Linked DNA regions of Oryctolagus cuniculus. The protein of the gene in region 1 binds, or shares a complex with, the protein of each later gene. Links are inferred from orthologs where the notes say so. Each region holds a gene or a part of one and is shown in the gene's direction. Other genes may lie near its edges.

Evidence for each region. The genes of interacting proteins can lie anywhere in the genome.
Region 2: the proteins of SCN7A (region 1) and SCN3B are in contact, whole or in part, in a cryo-EM structure (PDB 7TJ9), measured with the Homo sapiens proteins. The link is inferred for Oryctolagus cuniculus from reciprocal best matches to the Homo sapiens genes SCN7A and SCN3B. Residues at the interface, in NP_002967.2 of Homo sapiens: Arg269, Glu293, Tyr296, Leu298, Glu299, Leu305, Gln315, Cys316, Pro317, Glu318, Gly319, Tyr320, Asn922, Ile923, Thr926, Cys927, Lys929, Ile930, Phe939, Ile956, Tyr957, Asp959, Gln960, Ile966, Tyr970, Met973, Ile974, Tyr977, Ile978, Leu981; in NP_001035241.1 of Homo sapiens: Val25, Cys26, Val27, Glu28, Val29, Arg44, Ile46, Lys50, Arg51, Glu52, Glu53, Val54, Asn95, Gly96, Ser97, Asp99, Gln101, Asp102, Phe126, Phe128, Ala130, His131, Pro133, Val135, Thr154, Ser155, Ser158, Glu159, Met162, Leu165.

What each region holds. Positions count from the first base shown.
Region 1 is NC_091434.1:74,876,238-74,884,477, forward strand, and holds the start of SCN7A (sodium channel protein type 7 subunit alpha), read left to right. Parts: upstream 1-4,028; 5' UTR 4,029-4,313; intron 4,314-4,422; 5' UTR 4,423-4,547; intron 4,548-8,240. UniProt on the Homo sapiens protein: Sodium leak channel functioning as an osmosensor regulating sodium ion levels in various tissues and organs. While most sodium channels are voltage-gated, SCN7A is not and lets sodium flow through membrane along its concentration gradient.
Region 2 is NC_091432.1:116,010,724-116,018,365, reverse strand, and holds part of SCN3B (sodium channel regulatory subunit beta-3), read left to right. Parts: intron 1-4,753; coding exon 4,754-4,917; intron 4,918-6,614; coding exon 6,615-6,840; intron 6,841-7,642. UniProt on the Homo sapiens protein: Regulatory subunit of multiple voltage-gated sodium (Nav) channels directly mediating the depolarization of excitable membranes.

The sequences.
Region 1 (8,240 bases):
ACATATTTGATTACAAAATAAACTGCTTGAGACAAACATCCTCCATTCAAATAAGCATCAAGGAAAGACCCACACTGGTCTATTAGCTCCAAGCTTAGTGTGAAAGAGCAGATTTCCCATCACAAGGCAGAGAATGTGCCTTCAGTGCTTCCACATTCTAAATATACACTTAGGAAACAACTTCTACATTCTGTGGTTTTTATTTTATTTTTATCCTTCAGTTTTAGTTAACAAATAATGCATCTTAAGAGCCAAAAAGGGGTATTTTGATCTTTGTGTACCTTGTAGAAAGATTCAGTCAAACTAATTAACATACCCATTACCCCATTGACTTGCCATTTTCTTTATGTGGATCAAAACAGAAAAAATAAGTTTTCTTAGCAATTTTGAAATATACATTGCTGTTAAATACAGACACCACCCAGTGCAATAGATCACTAACACGTATTCCTCCTGTCTGAGGCTTTGTGCACTTTGATCAACATCTGTTTTCCTCATCCTCCTGCCTCCCCTACCAGGCTCTCATGATAATCTTCCTACTCCTTCTATCCATGAGATTGACTTTTTAACATTCCAAACATAACAGAGATCATGCAGTATTTTCCCTCTGTGCCTGACTTACTTTATTTAACATAACATCCTCCATGTCCATTCATGTCCTCCTCATTTCCATCCTCCTTAAGACTACATGATATTCCACTAATGGAATAGCACCTTTTCTTTATTTATCCATTGATGGACACTTCAATGATTTCAACATCTTGGATATTGTGAATAATGCTGAAATGATCATGGGAGTCCAGCTATTTCTTTGCCATACCAGTTTCAATTTCTTTGACTATGTGAGATTTCCAGATCACATGTAATTCTATTTTTAGGAATGTCCATTTTCCAAAATGGCTAAACCAATTTCCAACAGCATACAAGGGTTCTCTTTTCTCTACTTCCTCACAGTTGCTATCATTTATCTTTTGGATAATGATATAATGAGTGTACCTCACACCTGTTGGAATGGCTATTATAAAATACACATCTTTTTGATGTTGAGTGCTTTCTTTCTCTGAGTCTCTTTGTATTCACCATGAATAAATTTGACTTTTTTATTTTTGTTGTTTCTTTTCAGGCAGGCCTGTACTTTGTATCAAGATTCTGCAGCCAGGGGAAGTTGTCATATTTACTTATTTAAAAAGCATTAACATATTTAAGTATCAGAGATTAAAAAGAACAAAATCAAAATACAATTCTTTGGCTGGTGCCACGGCTCAATAGGATAATCCTCCGCCTGCGGCACCGGAATCCCGGGTTCTAGTCCCGGTCAGGGCGCCGGTTTCTGTCCCGGTTGCCCCTCTTCCAGTCCAGCTCTCTGCTGTGGCCCGGTAGTGCAGTGGAGAATGGCCCAAGTCCTTGGGCCCTGCACCTACATGGGAGACCAGGAGAAGCACCTGGCTCCTGGCATTGGATCAGTGCGGTGTGCAGGCTGCAGCACGCCGGCCACAGCGGCCATTGGGGAGTGAACCAACGGACAAGGAATACCTTTCTCTCTGTCTCTCTCTCTCACTGTCCACTCTGCCTGTCAAAAAAAAAAAAAAAAATTCTTATGTTCTTCACATTACTGTGAACTATGGCCAGATCCTAAAGTGAATCACCTCATTCTTCCTGGAAGCTCACATTGACTAGGTACACTTGGTGACAATTCCTTTAGCAAATTTACTGTGTAGCTAATACTTTACACCCTCTGTTCTAAGCACCACTGGGCAGTGTGGAATAAACAAGTGCTAGCTGTCAAGCAGTATGCATCTTAGTGGAACAAGAAAAAATAAACAAATAAGCAATAGATATTTAGTGCAACAGATCAGCAGTATAGAGAAAGACAAAGCAGTTGCTAACTATGACAAGATTCAAAGTGTGAGTGTGGAAATTAATAGTTAAGTAGCATGGAGAAAATGTAATTTATTAGGGCTTTGGACATTGGATGTTTCATACAATGTTCCTTGTATTCAAATAGATGAAGAGTTATTAAGAATGACAGCAAGAGTTCAGACGGAGGGGAAGACTGCCAACCAAAAAATAAATTTTTAATAAATAATAAAGTCATAGAGTCAGAAGATTATTATGATCAGAAAAGGAAAAGGATGGTAGAGCTGGAGGACATATTTTCACTCAAAGGCAGATTTGATTTTTTAAATTTTTTTTAGGTTTGGGAACACTTGTTTTCTTGTCTTTTTTTTTTTTTTAATAGATTGTTTTGTAAACCCTGATGTATTCATGTGGATTGAGAATGAAACCACCAGGTCCATGTACTTTCCTGCAGTAACACCTGTGTGGTTAGAATTAAACAACCGCATTTAAATAGGCTACAAGGAAAGTAATGAACCCAGGAAGCCAACTGGCTCAGGTTTAGTTAGAAATAGCGATTTCTCCTGAAAAGGCAGAGAATGGGGGTTTAGAGCTTCCATTTTTTTCTGAATACCCTTAAGAAGCACATGGAACACACGATTGTAAGTTTCTTAAGGTAAAAGAGTGGAAAACGGGCCTCTCTAACCACCACTTCTCTTGGCTGAGAAATTCAGTGGGCTGGATAGTGCAGGAGGAGGAAAGAGATTATGTTTCTCAGTTCACTACTAGGAGCAGAAACATTACCAAGATATTTCAGATCTAGCCCAGCAGTGTCACCCAACAGTAATAGCAAAATATTTGTTCCAGAACAACAGAAATGTTGCTGAACGTAGACTAGAGACTCATTACATTGGTTTCCCTTGTGTTTGCCTCTTGTTTTGTGCAATACCTTATGAGGGACTGCCAGTGTTACACATCATAGAAAGCAATGCTTCTCTTTACTTATTTCCAAATACCTTACTGAAGCTTTTTGTATGAGTATTGCTAAGTTTCTAAAGTTCATATTATATTTGAATTTACTGCCAGGAGCATAGAATTTTAGTAGTTCAGAAAGTATGCTTCGTTATGATTGCTTCAGGGGAATGTCCTAACACACTACAAAATATGCTTGCATCGTCATCACAGTGTGGAGAAGTGAAGCTGGAAAACTATACGTTGTGGAATACTTTTTTGTATACCTTAAATAAAATTTAAAAAGACCTTTGAAAAGTGAAGGTAAAAATAAAAAGCCTGAAGAGAGAAAAAGAACACGAGTGGGTGCTTGATTCTGCAAAATAATCATTCCTGATTTTTTTAAGTGTAAGGATGGTATTGGATTAAATGCTTTAAAACTTCTTGTTATTTATAGATATGCTGATTTTTGGATTAAATAACGTGCTGTCTGATAAAAGGGTTAGAGAATGAATGTTCTGTGGTGTGGCAACAATTTTTCCAAACTCCTTTTTGGAAAAGACCCAGCACCCCTCTTCCCTTCTCCTACAAAACTACACTGTAGTTCCCCAGGTTTTAAAAGTATGCACAATTTTTCCTCTATCTCTTGTGTTTCAAATCACCAGAGTAGGAAAGAAATCTGGAGGTAGGAGATTATAGTAGCTCTAGCTGTCTCTTCCTTAACAGCTACACACCTGCACACACAACAGCACACAGTCATCACAGCCCTGTCCAGATTGCGATGTTGCACGTTGACAATTGCCCCTGTAAGCTGCAGAGGGGTAGCGAGGCAAGGCGAGAGAGAAACAACTGCAGATACAGAGCCTAACTGTGCTGCCTTCCTCTCTTCCCCTCTCCTCACCATGCTTTTCATTACCCACCTCCCCAATTTAACCGCAGCCGGCTCTTCTATGGCTTTTCTCTTAATTACCGTAAACCCTCCTAGTGTTATCTCAGCTCCCTCCTCCTCACCAATCCCCGAATCTCTCGCCCCTCCTCGTCCAGGTAGGTAGAGCAGACGCCACAGCTGCCGCTGCTATTGCCTCCGCAGCGGATCCCATCAAGATCTCCCCGCCCACGCCCGATCCGGGCTGAAGTCTCGCACTGGCCTGGGGATGAGGGCGGGGGAGAGAGTGGCGTGGCTGGGAGAGGGGAGGGGGGACGTGGGAAGGAGACAAAAACAGCTTTCAAGCGGCGGGCGCGGCTCCACTTGGCATCTGGGCAGCGGGTCTGGGGTCAGTCTTGGGAAGCCACCCGGTGACTGGTTTTGCAGCTGGTAATTCAGTGGGGCTCAGCTGTGGCCTGAGTGTTAGCCCCTGTAGGGAGCAGACGCCTGCCTGCCGAGCAACACCTTCTAAGCAATCAGAACTCAGGAAACCAGAGGGATCTGTGAAGAGAGGGAAGCCCAGGAGGAGGCCAGAGCTCCAAGGAGCCCTGCTTCTCAGGGGTCCCTTAGGTGCTGGTGGCGACCTGTCATTTGGTAGCAAGTAAGTGCCTTTTTCTTGCTGTCACGCCCAGCCCCAGGAAAGTGATAGGCACCATCTGCGGCCTGCCTTTCCCACCCCCCAATCTGCCCCACCCCCTGCACACCCTTAGGGTCCCCACAGGAGGATGGAAGTTGAAGACTCTGGGTATGAGTTAAGAGAGCTATTCTGAGAGCAGCAGTGGTCTGTGGGGTTTGCTCTATGCTGAGTGTGCGGTCAGTTATCTCATCCCACCAGGTAAGCTGCTAAACCAAGATTCTCTCTGAGTATACTATTTCTAGAAACCTTATATGACTTGTATTATGTGACACAAAGATAGTGTAGAAGGAATGAAAGGTTAAGCAAAATGAAGTATGCTTTTTCCAATGGATTTCTTCTTTCATTCTAAGTACTTTAGTGATTTCAAGGTCAGTGCTTTTCACGTAAGAATTGCCAATGTAAAAGTAGAGGCATCGATATCATTGGAAATGCTCAGTTTAAACAGGTAGTCATAGGTATTGTTTGCAGCAATAGGGCAGTGAGGATTTGGTTTTTCTTTTTCCTGTTTTTTTAAACTGTGAAAATGCATACCTTCTGGAGGTTTTGTTTTAGAAGTGATGATGTGACTCTAGTTATGTTACCTCCAATACTTGAGACATTGATGAAAAGAGAACAAATGATGAATCCATGTGAATAATAGATTGAAGGCCCTTCATTAATGGAAATGATGGAATCAAGTGTGGATATTGGTCAGAAAAATATCTTGAAATGAAAGGCATTTGGCATTGCTTTTTGAGAGGTTCCTCCTGATTATCGTTCAAGAGAGTAGATTATGGCAAAGCTGAAGGAGAGGAGAGTCTGTAATAAACTGAGTCCTGGGTAGCAAACTTGCTATGACCAAAGGTTTCATAATCTAGCTACTAATTCTACAAATAAGAAACATAAGGTTTATATGAAGTCATTTGGTGAGGTTACCAGGCTAATCAACAAATGAGCTGGAAATACAATGAAAGAGACTTTGGAATTTAGAATTGTAATACTTGATTTCCATTTGTGTGCAGATGAAGTAAACTGCTTCAGTTGATGAAGCTTTGTTTTTCTTATCTGTACATGATATATTAAAAAATTCTAAGGATTAACTGACAGATATTACATGAAATGTTTTGTGAAAGAAATATCATGTATAACTGTTGGTTGCATTAAGGAATAACTCAGTTTCTATCTACCATTCTGGTTTGCATGTTAAATCAAATTCAATATGAGAATAAAGAAGGCTTTCCTATGCTTCTCTAGAATAACCAAGAGGAAGTCAAATTCAAGTTTATTTTTTGCCAGCTGTACAATTTAAAGTATATTTTAACCTCCATTCTTAAAAAGGATGCGCCATGGCTAGACACTCATATTCAAACATTCTTGTAAATTGTCCAAATATGCTTTGCCTCCTTTGTCTTTTTAAATGTTGTTTTAGGGGTGTGTGTGGGGTTCCACTTCTTGGGAATGAAATTATTAAGTATGTTGGATATTGCATAATTTATTTGTTCTGCAAATTAATAATAGGAGAAATCAAAATTTAGTCATAAATACTCTTAACTGCAGAGGTTTCTTAAAATATTGCACTCAGGAAAGAGGTAGAGTGAGTCCATTGTTTTCCATGGACATGTTTAAAGTGGTGGAAGAAAGACCTTAAGATGGACATAGGCTCTGGAAAAGGGCCCAGTAGATCCCAGATAACACAGTTGGGCCCCTGGACCTGCTGCTGAATCAGTCTCCATTGGAGAACTGAAGATAGAGCAAAGAATTAGGAACTGGGCATTGTCTCCATAGTCTAATGCAGTAGAAATTTTGGAAAGGTAGTTGACATATATTCTCATTGATTTTGCCCAAGTAGAATGAATACATGGCTATGCGTCCTAGAAACAAACAGTTAAAAAAACAACTGTATTTTCCTCAATCCCTCACTTAGGAAAGAACTGTCCTAATACAACCTAGTTCCAGATTTCTCTGGCATAACATTTGCATCATAACTGGGCAATCAGAGACGAACCTAGATCTCTCTACTACCATGTTGGACCCTCTCTTAAGAGTTGGTTATGGAAGCATTCGTCTAAAAGGGACACTCTTTGGTTTCTGGGAGCCTGATCCCATTTTGTCCCAATAGGCTATAGCAGTTTGAGCTATTTGTGACAGAGATGTCCGTAACCCTTGCCCACCTCCACCAGCTGTCAGTGGTGCTCAGTCACCTATGGTCACATGGGACTTAGTTTTCTCTGCCTTGATCCCCTTCTATTAGTGTGGGTTAACCAATGTCAGGTAAGTATATCTCATCTTAGTAACAGTCAAAGAGGGAGCCTCTGAAGTAAAAGGAAAAGTTTTTATCCAAAAGCTTTTAGGAGAATTTTTCAGCTCATGCATATCTCCTGACCCAGCTAAAATTGTGATTTCCATGCATTTGTTTAATTACTCTTTTAAAAAACCTGGCTCCATCTTGGTACACTCCATTATAATAGCCCTAGATAATGACATCCCTATTGTCTGTGTGGTCTCTCTAACTGGGTTGAGTTGGCCTGGTGTTGGCTTAGGATCACTAGCTGTGTGGACAGGATACCTCTGAATGTAGTGCAAATCACATACTTGTCTGGTTGCATCAGCATCAAAGAGCTTGACAGAAACACTGAAACTGAAGCCTCTCAGATAGAAATTTTGACAGAAATGTCTGAGATTGGGATGGATTTTAAACTACAATAGCAGATGATACTGATTTAGGGACCGCTGTCCCCTGATTAAATGTTGTGTTGAGTACTATATTACATCCTTTCTGCTTTAAACAGTAGAGCAAACCTCCCAGACCACCAACCTCTCATTCTCTGAGTTTTCCCAGAGGCTTCATGCTCTAAGCACCAGATTACTGGTTCTAATTTTGTCTCCAATCCCTATCTGCTCTCTTCCCTGGACCCCAGAGCCCTATTTTTGACACTCAGAGTCATGTTCACTCTATTATATTGCGATTTTCTCTCTAGTTGCACTCCCATTTAAGGTGTGGGTTTGTACATTTGGGTCCATATTTGAGAGTGGTTTCTGGGAGGGGGGGATTCCTGGAAAAGCATACAGACTCTGTAAGAGGTCTCCAGGATTCCAGTAAATATAAGAAAGCTGGTACTTTTGTATCCTATGGGTAACTTTTTTCCTCCTTGTGTGTGTTTTTGTTACTTTTGTGAAAATAAATGTTGGAAGAATCATAAGTAAAAAAAAAAAAAAAAAAAAAAAAAAAAAAAAATTTGAAAAGATGTGTTTTGTAGATCCAGTGGCATCTAAAACTATAGATCAAAAAAGCTCTTGTGATGCTGGTGAGTATCCAAGTTACATTCATGACAGAATCTCCTTTGCGTGACACAAATAGGGGCAACAGTGGATTCCTCTCTTTTGAGCTCTGGCTTCTCTTGGCTTCTGGCTGACAAGGGTCTGACTGACAAGGGTCATAAGAATAGTTAGCTTGAACGAACAGAGAGATTCTGACTTTTCCCCAACATGCTTGTTTTGTGTACTGGACATGCACAACGTGGAAGTTTCCATCATATCACAGAACAAGGAACCCTGTTAGTGAACCATGGAGTTTCATAGGGAAGCTGAAATTAATGTATTGAAAACAAAGAAGTTTTCTTTTTCGTTTCTGGGACCCTTCCCTGTCTCTGCTGTCTGGTCAGTCACAATGGCTCACCGTAGTGAGACTGCATCTTCTACCAAGTATTAATGTCCTGTGTATCCTCTCCAAGCCTCCACATTTTCACTGAACTTTCCTTGAAATCATTCTTGCGTGTGACTTTGAGATGGGTGCTGGTCTCCGACTTTGTCATGTGTCTGTCCACTCTTCTAGTAAGGAGTATAGATTGACTGTGCCTTTCTGAATGTGCATGATTGCACTCATCCTCCCTGAAAAGGAGTCACTGGCAAAGA
Region 2 (7,642 bases), on another chromosome or scaffold:
GAGAGAGAGGGGGAGTGACAGAGCAAGAACTATGCAAATTGAAAAGGAGGCCAAAGGTCAAATGATTCAGCCATTATTCCAGGAGTTTATCATTAATAGTCAGCAATGTGGATTCCTAACTTATGCACAGCCTTCTCCTGGATACACAGAGGGTCTCATAGGAGCATAGGCAGGGGTGGGTTGGAGACTCCATGAGTGGACAAACAGACTTCACCTCCTGATGGAAAGAGTAGTAAGTCATATTGCAAAGGGCAAGCAAACAGAGGACTTTGTGGTCATTTGCATTGTATTATCCAGAAGAGTGCCTTGAAGCTGGACTTCAGCCAGGAGCAGGGAAGCTTGCACCCTGATGGTATCTGGATTACCGTCCCCTCAGGGACACATGTTCATCATGACTCCATGTATCCCCCTCCCCGCCTTTAACTGTAGGTGCTCCTGTCTCTGCTACCCTATCTACTTGTTCATGAGAGCATGTCACCTCTCACCTACTCAAGGAGGGTAATCCAACAAATGATTCCCTTTCTTTAAAGATTTATCAATTATTTATTTGAAAGTCAGAGTTACACAGAAAAGGAGAGGCAGAGAGAGAGAGAGAGAGAGAGAGAGAGAGAGAGAGAGATCTTCCATCCAATGGTTCACTCCCCAGATGGCTGCAATGGCTAGAGCTGCGCCGATCTGAAGCCAGGAGCCAGGAGCTTCTTCTGGGTCTCCCACGCGAGTGCAGGGGCCCAAGGACTTGGCCATCTTCTACTGCTTTTCCAGGCCATAGCAGAGAGCTGGATCGGAAATGGAGCAGCAGACTAGAACTGGCGCCCATAAGGGATGCCGGCACTGCAGGCGGCGGCTTTACCTGCTACACCACAGCACTGGCCCCAAATGATTCGCTTTCAAACCCCCACAGTTCCACATCTTCAATGAAGTGAAATCTTGGCTCCTGTCACTGCACCAGCTCATTCTCTCTGCACCCACTCTAGTTCCCCTTCACCTCCCCAGCTGATTCTCAACAATGGTCACATCGTGTCATTTTACACCAATCAGATCATATCATCCTTGCATTTGGAGGCCTCCGGTGTTCCTGGTACTGCTCCAAGCAAGAACCAGCATTCAAATTAACCGTGGGCTGCAAGAGCTGCCGTGATTAGGCCCCTGACATCCTCTCCTGCTTGCTTCCCTTTTATTCCTGCTTGGTCCACCATGCTTCGCACCGTGGGTTCTTTCTTGGCTTTCAAGCATGACAGACACACACCTTGGGACCCGTGTGCTCTGGAGCTACCATTTCCTATGGCACAGATACCCCTACAATGTCTTGCCTTCCTTCTTTCCTTCAGTGGCCGCTCAGTGTTACTCTCTCCCTGGGGCCATCCCCAGCGGCTTCATGTGCTTTCTCTCTCGTCTCCCCCATTGTATTTTTTCTTATAGCACTGAACCAATGTTTATTTATGCCCCCCCCCCCCCGCAGTGGAATGTAACCTGCATGAGAGCAGGGATGGTTCTGTTTGGTTCCTGTTGTGTCCTCAGTGCCGAGAACAACGCCTGGTACTGGACATATTTGTCAAAGAAATGAAGGATTAAAAAGCATTCATGAATGACATTTCTACAGAGCACATTTACATAAGTTAATGTGTAGAATTCTCCTGACAGATAGAGGTTATTTTCAGCTTCTTGTTCATGAAAAGTTGAATCTTAAGAGGTGTGAAGTCATAGACCAAACCCAGTCATTCAGTGGCAGTAACCCATCTTCCTGCAGCCTCTATCACTATAACTGGATGTTCCTTGGGATTTTTCCTATTCGGCTCCTGAGGTCACCAACGAAATCTGTCATCTTTACCACCGCTCATTCAATGTGAGTGCACCCAGGGTTGCATGCTGCAGTGTTCTGGCTGCGTGCCTTCTGCCCCTCTGTCCACTCACAAACTTGTACAAAAACCATACCTCTATTTTAAAAGAAAAAAATCATTCTATATTCAAGACTTCAAACTCATTAGATGCTGAAGATGCTTTTTTTTTAAAGATTTTATTTTTATTTATTTGAAAGAGTTACAGAGAGAGAAAGAGAGAGAGAGCGAGAGGTCTTCTATCTGCTTGTTCACTCCCCAGATGGCCGCAACAACCGGAGCTGCACCGATCCAAAGCCAGGAGCCAGGAGCTTCCTCCAGGTCTCCCATGTGGGTGCAGGGGCCCAAATGCTTGGGTCATCTTCTACTGCTTTCCCAGGCCATAGCAGAGAGCTGGATCAGAAGAGGAGCAGCCGGGACTAGAACTGGCACCCTTATGGGATGCTGGTGCTTCAGGCCAGGGCTTTAACCCACTGCACCACAGTGCTGGCCCCTGAAGATGCTTCTGCTCACTTATCCCAGTGTGGACCCTCTGTCCATGCAAGTGATGACCAGATGGCCAGATAACACTGCCTTGAATTTCTTGAGAGTTTCAAATACAATTAATATTACTTTGCTTTGAGTTTTTTAAACTTTAAGTTAATTATAGTGCTGCTGATTTTAACTCTATGTTTAAAAATGAAATTTGTTTCCTTCTAGTCAAACACAATATTTAATTTTTTGATTCAAAATTAGTTTATACCAGTTTCATTTTAAGCTCTAAAAAAAGCTTTTCTGTGCTTTTTTTAAAAAAAGATTTATTTGGGGCCGGCACTGTGGTATAGTGAGTAAAGCCACTGCCTCCAGTGCCAGCATCTCATATGGGTGCCAATTGGAGTCCCGGCTGCTCCACTTTCAATCCAGCTCTCTGCTATAGCCTGGGAAAGCAGTAGAAGATGGCCCAGGTCCTTTGGCCTGGAAGAAGCTCCTGGCTTCAGATCGGCACAGCTCTGGCTGTTGCAGCCAATTGGGGAGTAAACCAGCGGATGGAAGACCCCCCCAACACACACACCTCTCCTTCTCTCTTTGTGTAACTCTTTCAAATAAATAAATAAATCTCTTTTTTAAAAGATGGAAATGCAGAGGGATAGAGAGAAGGGGAGAGATAAAGAGAGGAAGAGGTCTTAAATTCTGCTGGTTCTCTTCCCAAATGGCTGCCACAGTCAGGTTTGGTCCAGCTGAATCCAGGAGCCAGGAACTCCATCCTGGTCTCCCACGTGAGTGACAGGGACCCAGGTACTTGAGCCATCTTCTGCTACCTTCTCAGGCAGATTAGCAGGAATCTGGATTGGAAGCAGAGTAGCCAGGATTCACACTGGTACTCTGAGAAGCCAGCACTGCAAACAGCTTAATCTACTGCATCATAAACATCGTCCCTCTTCTGTTTTTAGAAAAGGGTTCTCTGTATTCTCTGTCTCACCACCAACAGTGGACTAGTTTTAAAATATCAGTGAGTATTGTTTTCATTTGTTATACTTCAGGGACTCTGCTTTTATTATTAACTCATGCAAAGGGAGCATCTGAAGGAACTTCAATGTCCCTATATGACAATGCTTGTGGTTGTCTTACCTCTGCATCTTCCAGGCAATGAGGGGTAAACTCTTTTACCAAGTACAGTTTTGCATTTATGAATCGCTGCAACATCAGAAATCTCTTCTCATTGCAACAAACTTATTTTTTTTCTTAGCACGGTTGAAGGTGGGCAGAATCAGAGTAAAAGTCAGACAAGTTCCGTGTTGGAGCTGAGTCCTTCAAGTCCTCCCCTTTGTCCCCAGGCCCCCATCATCCTGCTGCTCTCTGGGCATGCACGCATCCAACAGGTTCCTTTTGTAAAATGTGCACCCTGAACAGATCCTGACAGTCCAGATTTGTTCTGAACAGTGCAGGCGGGCTGCTCCTCTTCCCTTCTGCACACTACATCTGTTAGTGCAGCCCACACTGGCACTTGCTTGCTTGGCAGCTGTGTCCCACTTTGGATTCATTCTGAATTTGCAATATGATGTACTCACTTTAAAAAAAAAAACAGACTGTAAGTCTAAATCTGCATGTGGCATGCAAGGTGGCCCACGTTCTGACCTCCCTCTAGATTTTTAACTTTGTCAGTCTGCTCCTCCCATCGCACACTGCTTCACCTAGTGCTCAGGGTACCCTGCTCCTCTCTGCTGCTCCATCTGCCACCACACGTCAGAATCACTCAGAGCATCCATGAAACACACAAATGTGTACACTGCTCCACAGCTTTGAAGGACACCTGGTGGTCTTCAAAACGTGGGTGCTGTCCACCTTCCCATGCCTCTCTGCCTTCCTCGCAGCGCAACCAGGAGTGACTAAGCGCTCTCCCTCTGGGAACAGAGCACATCACCAGTAGTATGCCACGCTCTGTGGTCTGGCTTACTCATAGTTATGGCTAGGTGTTCCCTGCTAGGTTATTAATGCCGTGAGGGCACGGTTAGTGTTTTGTTCATCTTTGTATCTTTAGTTGAGGACCAGACCTGACACAGAGTGGACTTCAGTGAATGGCTGTTGAATGAGGGCGTGGATGGATCGTAGATGATGCCCGCATGCCCTTTCTCCCTGCCAGCCTTTGAGGACAGGGCTCAAGTCCACGTCTGCTGCATCTCCACCACTTCCAGGGCCAGGCTTTCAGTCTGTGTCTGGACCATCCATGTCCCCTCCACCTCATTCCGCACCAGTTCTGAGCACACACACTTGGAAAGTGCAGGTGAAGGTGCAGACATGTGGACCGTGGCTATTTTCAAGTTTGTCTCATGATCTTCCTTCTCTGTCTCCTCCCTCTCTCCTCGTTTCCCAATGCCCCCCTCTCACCGGCCCCTCCCTGCCACCTGCCCCTCCTTCCCTGTCACCCGCCCTCTCTGCAGTCAGCGTCTGCTTCCCCGTGTGTGTGGAAGTGCCCTCGGAGACGGAGGCTGTCCAGGGCACCCCCATGAAGCTGCGCTGCATCTCCTGCATGAAGAGGGAGGAGGTGGAGGCCACCACGGTAGTGGAATGGTTCTACAGGCCCGAGGGCGGCAAAGACTTCCTTGTATGTCCTCCGGCTGACTTTGGCCTTTCTTTTGCTGGTCTCTGCTGTTGTGTGCCCGACTCCTGACAGTCTAGGGGATGGCAATTTAGCACACTCGGGCTTTTTTTTCTTCCAAGTGCTGACAGCTCCTCAGTGGATAAGTGACAGCCTTAGTATAGCTCAGCTCCTTTGAACCAGGGAGAAAGGCACTTGGCCAGCCTCAAGCACCCCTGGGTACCAGCAGGAAGAAGGATGAGGAGGAGATAAACCGTATTTAGAGCCGGTTGTGGCTAGGCACAAAACTAGGCACTTGGCGAGTATTTCCATTTAATTCCCCACACCATCCCCTGGAGAATTGAAATAAAACAGAGCACGGTTATATGCAATAACACAGGTTAGCTCCTTGAGGTCACACAGAAATAAGGATGAAAGCGATGACCAAGGCTGATGGTCAGCTGTCCAGCTGCATCCATGGGCAGAATGTTTACTTCGTTCTCCAGTGGGTCCGTGCTGTGCCTCACCTCCCATGTGGCCCCAGCACCCTCCCTCCCACCAGGAACCCCTAGTCCTCCCCATGACACACACTTCTGGCAGAGCAGGGAGCCCTCCCAACTCTGATCCTGTGCCACAGCCAATGTCAGTGGCACAGATGGCTGGTGAGCATCTGTTTGTAGTCCCACTTTGGAGGTGACCATTATCTACTCTTCCACTGACTCTGGGGCCAGGGTGCCTGGGTTTGAGGCTGGATTCCACTCTTAGCTCTGTGCCCTGGAACACACAACCCAACCTCTCTCTGCCTGTTTCCTGGTTTTAAAAATGGGGTATGTGACATAGCTACCTTATAGGTTGTTACCAGGACTCATGAGCTCTGATTTTCTGGGTTAGTAGAAAGTACTTCCTGGAATACGAGGAAACACTGTATTGTTTCCCGGAGAAATGATATATACACAGAAGTGGGGAAACTGAGGCTCAGGAAGTTAGGTAAGAGAGAGTTCGCATTTGACAGCAGTTACAAGGCACTTTTTATTACACCACGTTGTTGTTCTGGGGCCAGGTTCTCTTGCACAAAGATTTTTAATGGAGACAGCCCTGGGTGGAACTGGCTTTTGCTAGCTCCTGTTTCTTGCTTTCCTAAAGCTGAACTCGTTCCTTTTTTCCCCCCAAGATTTATTTTATTTATTTGAAAGGTAGGAGGACAGGGAAACAGAGAGAGAGAGAGAGAGAGAGAGACAGAGAGAGAAAGACAGAGAAAGAAAGAGAGTGAGAATCTTGCACCTGCTGGTTCACTCTCCAAGTAGCCACAATGGCTGGGGTCAGGCTGAAGCCAAGAGCCTGGAACTCCATCCAGGTCTCCCACATGGGTACAAGGGTCCAAGCACTTGGGCCATCTTCTGCTGCTTTCCCAGGTGCATTAGCAGGGAGCTGGATCAGAGGTAGAGCAGTCAGGATGCAAACCGGCACCTGTATGGGATGCCAGCACCACAGGCGTAGCCTAACCTGCCATGCCACAATGCCAGCCCCACTGCCCATCTTTCTCCATCTTTGTTCTCTCCTGCCCTTTGCATCTCCTCATCCTCCCCCAACAAAAAATTCTAGGTCTCCTGGTGCGTCCTCTCTCTTTCCTAACCACCTGCGATTCTTCTCTACCCCATTCCCATCTTGCTGTCCTACTCTATCTCCTCTCTGGGCCCTATCCTCTTCTGTCTCTGTACCTGCAGATCTACGAGTACCGAAATGGCCACCAGGAGGTGGAGAGCCCCTTCCAGGGGCGCCTGCAGTGGAACGGGAGCAAGGACCTGCAGGATGTGTCCATCACCGTGCTCAATGTCACTCTGAATGACTCCGGCCTCTACACCTGTAACGTGTCCCGAGAGTTTGAGTTTGAGGCGCACCGGCCCTTCGTGAAGACGACGCGGCTGATTCCCCTCCGAGTCACCGAGGAGGGTGAGGCTGAGGCTAGAGTGCCCTGCTCTGTGGGACTCACTGGAGTGGGGCAGGAGGGCTGTGGGTTTCCACACAAGCGAGGCCTTTGAAGAATGCAAAAGCTTGTGTTTTTAGCCAGCTTCCTGCAAGCTGTCTGATCAATTTATCTGGTCAAAGTCTGCCTCTCCTGAAAGCAGGAAAGCTTGGAGATGACAGAATGATCTCTTCCTGGTCCGTACAGAGAAGGGAACCCCCAGATACTGATTCAACTCCCACTTCTTCTCTGGCCTGTGTTGTGTCCCTGACTCAGTGGGCTCAGGGAGATCTCACGAGGTTAGCTACAGGTCATCTCTCCTCCCGTGGAAATCACTGGATCTCTAACTTCAGCCAGCCTCAGAATCTCCAGCAGGGCTTTGTGGATGCAGACTCTGCTTCTGCAAGTGGAGCCCACGAGTGTTGCCTTGTTTACGAAATGCCAGGTGATGCTGAGGCCACAGGAGCCATCCAGTGAGAGCCACTCTCCAGTGTCTGTCACCACCGCTGCAACACCTTCCTTACTGTGGCCTCTCGCCTTACACTCTTGGCTGGGAGCAGGGAACAAGTAATAGCTCTCAAGTTCTTAATTTAAAATCCTCAAGCTCCCACACTAGTTCCTTGTTAGTGAGTGGGAAGTTCTTTCAGCAGCCTACTCAAAGATTTCTGTTGCAGTCTTGAGTCCAGAATTTTGCGGGTGAGCGTGGAGGGTGCTCAGACACTGCTCTTGCTCTGCTGCCAATGGACTCACAGAACTGAGCCCCTGGCTCCTCCCAGTGCATCCTGCCTT